2 linked regions of the Callithrix jacchus genome follow. The main gene of each other region encodes a partner of the protein of the gene in region 2 in a complex. Links are inferred from orthologs where the notes say so. Each region holds a gene or a part of one and is shown on either strand. Other genes may lie near its edges.

Evidence for each region.
Region 1: STAC3 (region 2) and CACNG1 share a complex: the UniProt entries of both Homo sapiens proteins name them as parts of the calcium channel complex. The link is inferred for Callithrix jacchus from reciprocal best matches to the Homo sapiens genes STAC3 and CACNG1.

Annotation. Positions count from the first base shown.
Region 1 is NC_133506.1:122,262,078-122,268,289, reverse strand, and holds the start of CACNG1 (voltage-dependent calcium channel gamma-1 subunit), read left to right. Parts: upstream 1-2,369; 5' UTR 2,370-2,474; coding exon 2,475-2,703; intron 2,704-6,212. UniProt on the Homo sapiens protein: Regulatory subunit of the voltage-gated calcium channel that gives rise to L-type calcium currents in skeletal muscle. Regulates channel inactivation kinetics.
Region 2 is NC_133510.1:62,452,001-62,458,164, forward strand, and holds the start of STAC3 (SH3 and cysteine-rich domain-containing protein 3), read left to right. Parts: upstream 1-2,601; 5' UTR 2,602-2,794; intron 2,795-4,181; 5' UTR 4,182-4,182; coding exon 4,183-4,248; intron 4,249-4,488; coding exon 4,489-4,756; intron 4,757-4,993; coding exon 4,994-5,091; intron 5,092-5,294; coding exon 5,295-5,367; intron 5,368-6,164. UniProt on the Homo sapiens protein: Required for normal excitation-contraction coupling in skeletal muscle and for normal muscle contraction in response to membrane depolarization. Required for normal Ca(2+) release from the sarcplasmic reticulum, which ultimately leads to muscle contraction.

The DNA.
Region 1 (6,212 bases), on a different chromosome or scaffold from region 2:
GAAAGAGCAGCAGAGGTTGTCAGTGGCTGCCCCTGCCAAGGCTTGGCGTCTCTGATGGGCCTGCAATGTCTCCATGGCTGGCGCTGGTGCACCCCATGGGCTGAGCCCCCTCAGGCTGCTTTTCAAGAGCCTCAGAGGCTCTTGGCACGGAAGAGCTTAGGGCACCCCCCACCCCGCCACCACCACACCAGGAAATTCAAAAGACACTTTTATTCTCCAAATGACACTGTATTTACTTGTAATGCTAAAATTAAATAGCTTCTTTCTAGATATTTTGTCTTAAAACACTGGAACCTTTTTTTGGCTCCCTGACTACTGCTTTGCTGGGGTGCCTGGCACTCAGTAGTTCTGCTCAAGCTGTCCAGCACCCCCTGAGGTCCTCAGGTACCAGGGTCCTGAAGCTGGGACCCCACAAGCAGTGTGAGAGGGCTGAGAGGCTGTGGCCATGTCCCAGCTCCTGGGAGTTCCCCATGGAGACAGTCCACCCACCTGGAGACAGGCAGCTCCTCCACGAGCTGAGGCAGGGGCGGTGGCAGGTGTCAACAGCCAGTCAGCCATCAGTCAGTTGTGATGGATTAGCGCCCACTGGGAACAGAGAGGTGGGGGGCAGGGAGGAAGCGGGCAGAGATGAGAGCAGTGGGGAGAGAAGTTTTCGGGAGATCGTAATCTGGACGCGAAACTGATTTTTAAAATATGAAAGTTTGGGTGGAACTGCCATAACCACATGCCAGTGGCTGGAGACATGAGGGTTCCGCTCATCCCTGGGGCTGTTCACCCTGGCTTGCCACATCTCCTCTCTGGGCTGCAGATTCCTAATCTGTCACAATAGATCTTGAAGCTTCTTCCCAGTTCAAACCATGGGTTAAGACTTTGGGTTCTGGGTTCTGAAACCTGGCTTCCTCATTTTCCTGCTGTGTGATCTTGGAAAAGTGGCATCATGTCTCTGAGCTTCTGTGTCCTTATCTGTGAAATGCAGTAAGAGTCGTAGCTCCCTTGTGGATTGGTGTGGAGAATAACTGTGATGCTGGAGGAAGGCTTAGCAGAGCGCCTAGTCGACAGGAAGCCCTCGCTGAAGACGAGCCGTTGCTACTATTATCATCATCGTGAACTTTCTGTGATTCCAAGGCTGGAGGCTGGAACGTTTCTGTCCACATGGGGAGAGTCTCTGTAAACCGTGTCAATCTGAGGCCAGGATTTTGAAGCTCAAGGCCCCACCCAGCTTAGGAAGCTATTCCTGGTCATGCATCAGCCTCTCGGCTAGACCCAAAAAGGGCTACCCGGTAAGCTGAGAAAGAAGAGATGGCACAACCTGGCACAACCTGGAGGGATGTAGGGGCCAGAGCCTTGGGGATCCCTGCAGGGCAGCCAGGCACACAGGACCCTGGGAGGGCGCTCAGTTCCAGGCTTTCTGTGTTCTCTGCCATATCTAAGCACTCACGAGCCTCCTAATTATCCCCCGTAAATCAACCTATTTGTTCTTTTTTACTCACACCCTTATTTTGCAAATTAAATAAGTGTGTTCAAATTAAATAAAAATCATTATCACCTGCTGTTAATAGAGGCAAAACCAAACACAGTACCCTGAAAACAGAACGACCAAGTCCAACGAGATTCCTTGTCCTCTTCAGGCCATTCTCTCTTGGTTTCGGAGGACACTCTGTGGGCAGTACAGACACTGACCCCAAATGCAGCTTTGCTCTGGACCCAGTTCCGGGTATGGAAAGAGAATTGAGAAGGAAGTGATGTTCTCATGAAGGGGTCAGAGTCGGGAAAGGCCAGGCCTGGGAAACACCAATAATCTTCCCACGGTTTGGGGGAGGCCATGGATTTTGTGGCTAAAACACTCCCCAAGAGGTGGACTCCAGAGGCCCTGGACGGGTTCCCTGGGATGTCCCTAAACAGTCCTAGTCTCCCCAGATCCCAGGATGAGGACCTACTCACTGCCCTGCTGGTGACAGACTTGCCCTGTGGGAGCCCGGGAGAGCCAGGCAGCCTGCAGCTCTGGTCTCCTCCCCTGCCCTGGGATGCCCTTTCCCAGCAGCCCAGAGCAGGCAGGTCCCCACCCCCAGCCCCTGCTGCCCACCCCCTCCCAACTCAGACACCTTGAGCTGCTACTCCACAGAGGCCTCAATCCACCACCCAGAGCCTTCTCTCCTTGCCCCCCTACCAGGGTACTTCTGGCTCCCAAAGGAAGAAACCCCTGAAACCTGAGCAGAAGCTGTCCTCGGTGCCACGCCTGGAGACGGTCATTAATAGCAGCCTCCCTCAGGCCCCTGATTCGTCTGGACAGCTGCTCAGCATGTCCAGCGTCCCTCAGCCCCAAGCCCAGCCCACTCTGGCTCAGCCAGGCCACACTAAACTTAGTGGCCACTCCCAGCTTGACAGCCACTGCCACCCCCCAGCTCGGCTGTCACCTGCCCTAGGAGACACAGCCGCCGGACCCTGCCCAGGGCACCCACGCCTCGGCGACCACCATGTCCCAGACCAAAACGCTGAAGGTCCGTGTGACCCTCTTCTGCATCCTGGCGGGCATCGTGCTGGCCACAACAGCCGTGGTAACCGACCACTGGGCTGTGCTGAGCCCCCACCTGGAGCACCACAACACCACCTGCGAGGCGGCCCACTTCGGCCTCTGGCGGATCTGTACCAAGCGCATCCCCATGGACGACAGCAAGATGTGCGGGCCCATCACCCTGCCCGGGGGTAATGTACCCAGCATCCCTCCCAATCCCCACTTCCTGCCCTTTCCCATCTTTCCCCAACAAAGTTACCCACACGAAGCAAGGCAGGTTTCTCTGCCTAGAACAGGGCAGCCGCCCAGCCCTTTCTGCCCAGGGAAGAAGATCCGACTCGCATGTGCTGTGCTGGTGGCCGGAGCTGGGTTGTAAGACGAGGGCGTTTGTCCCAGCTATTTCTGTCTGGCTGGACCTTGGGGCTTTTTGTCCAGAGCAGACATCTGAGCAGGCTCAAGAAAGGGACTGTGGCTCTACCAGCCCGGGGGCTTCTGGGCCCCACCTGATCACTCCCTCCCTGCCAAGACAGGCTGAGTGGCTCTGTGTGCTCAGACTCGTGGAACCTATCAGGCTGGCAGGTTCGTTCCTGGACTTAAGGCAGGAGAGTAGACTGGACAGGTGAATTTGCAGGGTCCTGTGCTGAATGAAAGTGCAGGGTTCCCTGCTCCAAATTACCGAGGATTTCAAGGCAGTGACAGCGAGGCATGAAACCAAGCATGGACCCTTGAGGGCCCTGGGCCTAGGGCAGCTGCACAGGTTGAATGTCTATGAAGCAGGACATGGCTGTGGGTGAGCCGCCTGCCCCCTACCTTTTCTTGAGACAGAGTTGCACTCTGTTCCCTGTGCTGGAGTACGATGGTGCAATCTCGGCTCACTGCAACTTCTGCCTCCTGGGATCAAGCTAGTCTCCTGCCTCAGCTTCCCCAGTAGCTGGGATTGCAGGCATGCGCCACCATACCCATCTAACTTTTGTATTTTTAGTAGAGACGGGGTTTTGCCATGTTGGCCAGGCTGGTCTTGAACTCCTGACTGCAAGCAATCCGCCCACCTCGGCCTCCCACAGTGCTGGGATTAGGCATGAGCCGCCGTGCCCAGCCTCCACCCCCACTTTTGTCAGGACTTCAGTCCTCTGTGCCTCCTCTCTTAGCTCAGACCCTATCAGCATTTTAAAAGACCATGTCAAAGCATTTTCCTCATCCTGTCATTTAAGCATATTCCTCAATTTCCTACCATGTGACCAAACCACATGTCGAAGGTAAGCTCTTTTTCAGGAGTACCTGGTATTTGTGTGGCTAACCTCTATTCTGCAAATGCAGAGGCCTCTGGATTCTTAGCAAATACAGCACTTCTTTAGAGGAAAGAGGGCTACATGGAGACCAGGCGGCCAGGAATCATCACCATTGCCTACCACGCTCCAAATGACTCTCCAGGGAGGACAAAGCTCAACTCAGCCTCAGCTTCTTCCTCTATAAAATATGGGACTGACTCTCAACAACATAAGATCCCTTCCCAGGCTGAGGGACACCCATCCATGGTGGCAGTGGAGCAGGGTGATGTCAGTGTGATGTCCCACCTGGCTTTCAGGATTATTCCGTCTTTTATCAGACTGGATGTTCCTTGAAACCTGTCCTTCAAGGACACTAAGGCTGAGTCCCCAAAGATCTTGCAGTCTGTTTGTGGGTCAGAGAGCCCAGACCCCATCCTCCCATGTCTCTGCTCCCTCTTCCTTCCCTCCTGCTTGCTCCAGAGATCCCCTCCCTTGCTTACCCCAACTGGGTGCCCAGAAGACTCGTAAGTACCCAGCTGTTGTAGAAACACCAAGTCCCAGTGCTTGAGGGTGACAGGTGTGAGCATGTGCTGGCAGGGTATTGCATAGCTGGGATGCCCATGTCCCTTGACCACTGCGAAGCACACCCATAAACAGGCACAGCCTCCAGCCTACTCCCCTGGGTGGGGCAGGGCAGGGCAGGGCGAGGTAGCTTCTACAGGGACCACACATGGGGACGTGCTGTTACAGTCCTGTTCACCCATCTCTGGAACCATCTGACTTTTAAAGTCAGAGAAGAGGGCTGGGCAGTGAACAGAGTCCACACAAGGAAGAGACAGGCTGGTGAGAGGTGACTGGACCAATCACAGGGGGTGACAGGCTGGGGAGACGTTAGTGGACCAATCACAGGGGGCAACAGGCTGGCAAGAGGCGATTGGACCAATCACAAGGGACCAACAGGCTAGTTAGAGGTGAGTGGACCAATCATAGGGGGCCAACAGGCTGGTGAGAGATGACTGGACCAATCACAGGGGGGCAGCATGCTGGTGAGAGGTGACTGGACCAATCGCAGTCACTGGAACCAATGCTAGTCACTGGAACCAATGCTAGTCACTGGAGCCAACAGGCATTGCTTGAGCTTGAGCCTGACCAGGATCTACCTCTTTGACTTCTTAGCCTAACCAGCCATGAACCATACCTCCCACGCTTGTGACACGGAGCACTACCTTTCCCCCAGTAATCTTCCAAAGTATGTTCCTGCCTTTTTCCCTCTCTTTTCTGTGCAAATGGACATCTTTCTCTTTCCCTATCTGCCCTTCTTGTGTTCCCTGGGACCACTCTTCTCTAGAGGGAGGAAGTGAGTTCATATGTGGCTTCTCAATTAACAACAGTAATAATGGCACGTACATGTAACCCTATGTGCCAGATATTGTTGTAAATGCTTTACATGTATTAACCTCTAATGACATTGGGAAAAAAAATTATGGAGAAAGAACCTCCAAAAATCTTCTTCTACATAAAAGCAATGAGAGTGCTGGCAGAAATTGTCAGAATTAGCCTTTTGAGAACTGTGAAAATTAATCAAAGTCTTGCAGCAATCCAGCAAGAAAAATGGGTGAATCTCAGGACCAGTGAGTTCTGTGGTGTTTTAACTTGCCCTATTCTTTTTCCCTTTTCCAGCTCTGTAGTGACCTTGCAAACCAACATTCGACAATCAGTGAAAACCATCATCCCACTAGCCTCTGGAGGGGAGAGAATGGGGTTGGATCAAAGGCCCATTCCCAGAGAATTGTCATTATTTGACCTGTCTGGTGATTCCCTGAAAATCCTCGCTTAAGAAGCTGTTTCTTTTTGATCTGACTCTGAGCTCATGAGGGCAAATAGTCAATTATTAGAGATGATTGCTTAACATCATGGTTGCCTGAGGCAGGAGATAATTGTTGGGCAAAACAACGGGCCAATCAAAAAACTGGAGACTGAGATGTCCATAGGTTGCTTTGAAAAGCTTCAACATATTCCTGGGAATCTAGGAGGCCATGTGCATAAACAGTGCTATGTGCATGCTTGGGAAAGACTTGAGAAGGCCCTAAGCACTCACCTCTGCCTTATCTTGAGGCTCTGTTCAAACAGAAAGTGAAGGCTAAGGCAGAGATGTGGGTGGCTTAGCTGAGTGTGAGAGTCATATGAACAGAGCCCCTCAGTAAAGACTGGGAGAGGTATTGTTTATAAGCATTTTAGGAAATTTCTAACCTGTCACTAAGGTAATTGAACAGGGATTTAAGTGGTCACAGAAGACAACACAGACTTCAAAAAAGTCACTAAACAAACAACAGGAACAAATCCTCAAGAAGGGGGAACAACCGATTTCCAGAGTTGTCACATTATATTGTTTAAAAACTACTGGCTGGGTATGCTGGCTCACTCCTGTAATC
Region 2 (6,164 bases):
AGCCTTCCGTCCAATGTAAACTGTCCCATTTTAATAGCCCTGGTAATTCCCTTCACCCTGAGGACAAAATTTTAGAGGAAGGAGGTGGGGAGATGTCTCTGGGGGCTGCTGGAGGGAATAAAGCAATACTACATATTCCTTTTTTTTTTTTTTGAGACCAAGTCTTGCTCTGTCGCCCAGGCCGGAGTGCAGTGGAGAGATCTTGGCTCACTGCAACCTTTGCCTCCTGGGTTTAAGCAATTGTCCTGCCTCAGCTTCCCAAGTAGCTGGGATTACAGGTGCCTACCACCATGCCAAGCTAATTATTGTACTTTTAGTAGAGATGGGGTTTCACCATGATGGCCAGGTTGGTCTTGAACTCCTGATCTGCCCACCTCAGCCTTGCAAAGTGCTGGGATTACAGGCATGAGCCACCACACCCAACCATATTCTTCACTTGCTTACAGGATAGCAAAGTACTCCTCAAATCACCGACAGATAAAAAGCAATCTAGTATAGCCAAGTCAATTCTAAGCAAAAAGAACAAAGCTGGAGGCATCACACTACCTGACTTCAAACTATACTACAAGGCCACAGTAATCAAAACAGCATGGTACTGGTAACAAAACAGATATATAGACCAATGGAACAGAACTGAGGCCTCGGAGGTAATGCCACACACTTAAAACCATCTGATTTTTGACAAACCTGACAAAAGCAATGGGGAAAGGATTCCCTGTTTAATAAATGCTGTTGGGAAAACTGGCTAGCAATGTGCAGAAAGCAGAAACTGGACCCCTTCCTGACACCTTACACTAAAATTAACTCCAGATGGATTAAAGACTTAAACATAAGACCTAACACCATAAAAACTCTAGAAGAAAACCTAGACAAAACCATTCAGGACATAGGCATAGGCAAGGACTTCATGACTAAAACATCAAAAGCATTGGCAACAAAAGTCGAAATAGACAAACGGGATCTAATTAAACTCCACAGCTTCTGCACAGCAAAAGAAACAATCATTAGAGTGAACCAGCAATCAACAGAATGGGAAAAAAATCTTTGCAATCTACCCATCTGACAAAGGGCTAATATCCAGAATCTACAAAGAATTAAAACAGATTTACAAGAGAAAAACAAGCCCATTCAAAAGTGGGCAAAGCATATGAATGGACACTTTACAAAAGAAGACATAACATGAGGCCAAGAAACATGAAAAAATGCTCATCATCACTGATCATTAGAGAAATGCAAATCAAAACTACATTGAGATACCATCTCATGCCAGTTAGAATGGCGATCATTAAAAAATCTGGAGACAACAGATGCTGGAGAGGATGTGGAGAAATAGGGACACTTTCACACTGTTGGTGGGAGTGTAAATTAGTTCTACCATTTTGGAAGACAGTGTAGTGATTCCTCAAGGACCTGGAAATAGAAATTCCATTTGACCCAGCAATCCCATTACTGGGTATATATCCAAAGGATTATAAATCATTCTACTATAAGGACACATGCACACGAATGTTCATGGCAGCACTGTTTACAATAGCAAAGACTTGGAACCAACCCAAATGCCCATCGATGGTAGACTGGACAGGGAAAATGTGGCACATATACACCATGGAATACTATGCAGCCATAAACGATGAGTTTGTGTCCTTTGTAGGGACATGGGTGAACCTGGAAACCATCTTTCTCAGCAAACTGACACAAGAACAGAAAATCAAACACTGCACGTTCTCACTCATAGGTGGGTGTTGAACAATGAGAACACATGGACACAGGGAGGGGAGCATCAGACACTGGGGTCTGTCGGGGGGAACTAGGGGAGGGACAGTGGAGAGTTGGGAAGGGATAACATGGGGAGAAACATCAGATATATGTGTTGGGGAGGAAGGCAGCAAAGCATATTGCCATGTATGTACCTATGCAACAATCTTGCATGTTTTTCACATGTACCCCAAAACCTGAAATGCAATAAAATATATTTTTTTTAGAAAAAAGCAATCTAGCTGGGCTTGGTGGCTCACACCTGTAATCCCAGCACTTTGGGATGCTGAGGCGGGTGGATCACCTGAGGTCAGGGGTTCAAGACCAGCCTGGCCAACATGGTAAAACCCTGTCTCTACTAAAAATACAAGAATTAGCCAGGCATGGTGGTGGGCACCTGTAATCTCAGGTACTTGGAAGGCTGAGGCAGGAGAATCACTTGAACCCAGGAGGTGAAGTTTGTAGTGAACCTGCCAGATCACTTCACTGCACTCCCCTGGGCGACAAGAGTGAGACTCCATCTTTAAAAAAAAAAAAAAAAGCAATCTAGTGTGGCTGATAGGAGAGCTCTGAGAGTTCACATTAGTCTTTTTTTTTTTTTAACCCTGTCTCAAAAAATAAATGAAATATAAAAATAAACTCCCCTTAAGTGAGCATGAACAGAAACTGTCCCTTCTTGATTTCAGCTGTTATTAACCTGTTGGCCAAAGATAAAGAATCAAGGAACAGCAGCTCTGGGGGATGGGAGGAGTTAGGGTCCAACCCTGCCCCAGACCTCTCAGTGTCCAATTTCTCTGTGTCAGCTGTGTTGCTCAGCTGTCTACTTTCCTCCAGCCCTGTCATTTCAGCCCTGACACCAACGCAAGAGGCTAGGAGGTCTACAAATAGCGTCTGGGTAGCTGGTGTGAACACAGAGGGTACTGGGGGGGCTTAGCCCCCAAGGAAGAGGACTGGTTTTTCCCCAGCACCACCATCAAGGCCTCGGGGTTCCCAACTTCCTCTACATTCTGTGGACTGACTGATTTAGGGAATCCCAAACGTAAGTTACCTCTTCATCCTCTTTCCATTTCCACAGCTGCTCACCCCAGCTGCCCTGGCCAGTAATCTATTTAACTTCTTCATTTCTCTCCTTGTTGTGAATCATCTGGGTTTTAGGAGTCAAATTATTATTCTACTCTAGGATGAGTTAGGATTGGAGGGTGGGGTAAGGGTGGGGGTGGGGTGAAGGGAATGGAGTAGTAAGGGAAGGAAAGGCTCATATTACCCTGAAAACTTAAAATAGCTGAGCCCTGAAGCAGGCTGGGACAGCACTAGGCACAGTGCCCCCAGGGCTCAAGAAAGAAGTAGGGGAGGACAAATCTCCAGTCCATCCTTCCTTGTGCACACACAAGGACACCCATTAAACCTCTTGAAGAGAGGAGATCTGGGAAGGTATGCATCACATACCTGTTGCCCACAGGTTCCCAGGAGAAACAAAGTACCTATAAGAAAATAACGTAAATCATTCAGCAGTGAACACTGTGTAAGGGCTGTAAACTCTGGGGTCACCCCTCAGGATGGAAGGATAAGTATCAGTTTGAGGAACTAACTGGGGACTTCCGTTTGTTGGGCTTTTTTGTTTTTCTTTTTTTTTTTTTTTTTTTTTGAGACAGAGTCTTGCTCTAGAACCACGCTGGAGTGCAGTGGCGCAATCCTGGCTCACTGCAACCTTCGCCTCCCAGGTTCAAGCAATTCTCCTTCCTCAACCTCTCAAGTAGCTGGGATTACAGGTGTCTGCCACCATACTCGGCTCATTTTTTAATATTTAGTAGAGATGGGGTTTCACCATGTTGGCCAGGCTGGTCTCAAACTCCTGACCCCTAGTGATCCACCCATCTCAGCCTCCCAAAGTGCTGGGATTACAGGTGTGAGCCACCACGCCCAGCCATGTTGGGCTTTTTTCTAGACCTCCATGAAATCTATCTGTTAATAAACACTGCCAAAGGATTTGTATTTGGCCTGGAGCAGTGCCTCATGCCTGGAATCTCAACCCTTTGGGAGGCTGAAATGGAAGAACTGCTTGAGCTAGTTCAGGACCAGCCTAGGCAACAAAGCAAGGCCCTGCTTCTACAAAAAATAAAAAAGTAGCCAGGTAGTATACACTTTGTAGTCCCAGCTACTCAGGAAGCTGAGGTAGGGGGATCGCTTCAGCCTGGGAGATCAAGACTGCAGTGAGCCGTGATCACACCACTGCACTCCAACCTGGGTGACAGAGTGAGACCTCATTGCAAAAAAAAAAAAAAAAAAAATATATATATATATATATATATGAAACCACATTTCTCCAAAAGCCTCCCCTTTGAGGACCACCCTACTGCAAGGGACAGAAATAAGAGAGAGAAGAATGAAAGGGATTAGATTTCATAGTGGGGTCCAACCTCTTGCAGGATGACAGAAAAGGAGGTGCTGGAGTCCCCTAAACCCTCCTTCCCCGCAGAGACTCGGCAAAGTGGGGTGAGTCTGGGCCTCTGACCACTGGGTGTGGGGAGCGGGAAGCCATTATAGCTGAAGAGTGCTTAAATTGATCACATTTGTGTATGACTCATTTTTTGCTGGCCACCTGCAGCCCCCCTAATCCTAGGGTACATTCCTTACCCCTAACTAGAAAACTGTCTAGTTTGCTCTAGTGCCCCTGTACTCTAGAGAGGGTGACAAGTCCTTTTAACACTGGGTTTCCTTCACTCCCTCCCTCAGCTACAGCGGCTGAAGCAATTACTCAGGAAGGGGTCTACAGGGACAAAAGACATGGAACTTCCCCCAGAGCCCCAGGCCAATGGGGAGGCAGTGGGAGCTGGGGGTGGGCCCATCTACTACATCTATGAGGAAGAGGAGGAGGAAGAAGAGGAGGAGGAGGAGCCACCCCCAGAACCTCCTAAGCTTGTCAACGATAAGCCCCACAAATTCAAAGATCACTTCTTCAAGAAGCCAAAGTTCTGTGATGTCTGTGCCCGGATGATTGTTCGTGAGTCATGAAGGGAAGTGAAGAGAGTATGATGTTGAAGGCAGGGGTTGGGGGAGAGGGTATAGGAGAGGAGTATTTGTAGCAGACGGGCTGCGGCTAGAGTTGCTGTAAGGCAGTGCTATTAGAGATTGTGAGAGTAGGGTCCTAGACAGAAAAGGGAACCTAAGTGTAGCAGCAGTGGTACAAAGGGAAAGGGCAACCTGGAACCTTATCTGAATTTTCTCCCCCTCTCCCAAGTCAATAACAAGTTTGGGCTTCGCTGTAAGAACTGCAAAACCAACATCCATGAACACTGTCAGTCCTATGTGGAAATGCAGAGATGCTTTGGCAAGATCGTGAGTAGGCTCCGGGGAACAAGGTGTAGAAAGGTGGGGCCGTATCACCAGCTACCCCTTGCTGGTCCCTCCTCCATCCCATTCATTTCTCTTTTTCTTTCTTAGCCCATCTCTTTTTCTGAGAAAGGATGACCACTTATGAGAGAGATGGGCTTCTAGCCTACCTTGCTACCTCTAATGATTCCTCCTATTCCACCCTACAGCCACCTGGTTTCCGTCGGGCCTATAGTTCCCCACTCTACAGCAATCAGCAGTATGCTTGTGTCAAAGATCTCTGTAAGTGCCCTTTATGGAACATGAGGGAATGGGCAAGCCTACAGATGGTTTCATGCCATCTCTTTTTTTTTTTTTTTTAAGTGAACAGCTCCTTGCTATAAGTGTCATGCCATCTCTAGCTTTGGAAGCCAAATTCTGAAACAGAAACTTTCTATTTCCCATCATTCTCCCTCAACCTAATATTTTTATATTTATTTGGATCCAGAGGCCATATCCCCATTTTACAGCAGAGGGAGATAGGATTTAGTTGCAGCTACATCAGTTAGCAAGCGGTAGAGCCAAGACTGGAATCTCCAGTTGCTAGCTTCAAAATCTGTGCTCTTCATGTGCAAAATCATTTCTAAGCAAGAACAAGGATTCTAGACTGTCCTCATCCTTACTACAGAGTCATACCAGACTCGGGGCAAAGCCCAAAGGCTGTGGACACCCTGGGCAGGTTCATAATTTGGCAACCTTAAAAGCATATTCATTGACAATTTGCTCAACATTTATTTGGAGGAGAGGCTTAACTCTGAGGAGCATGGGTGAAAAAGAAGAACCTGTTGGTGGTAGCTCCTCAGCTTAGACATGCCATTCAGCAGTGCAAAAGTCAGCAGTTAAGAGGCCATTCTGCTTAGAAGGAGAATAGTGATTCTGAGCATGTCTCAACCCCAAGCAACCAAAGTTCTCTTTCCAACGTCACATAATGCTCTGCCTGGAAGGAGTTCTGATAAATACTTTTCTCCCTCACATTATCAGTGATGTTTTTAGAGCCCTTTATAGATTGGTGACCTAGGTATTGCCCAGCAGACCCTTCC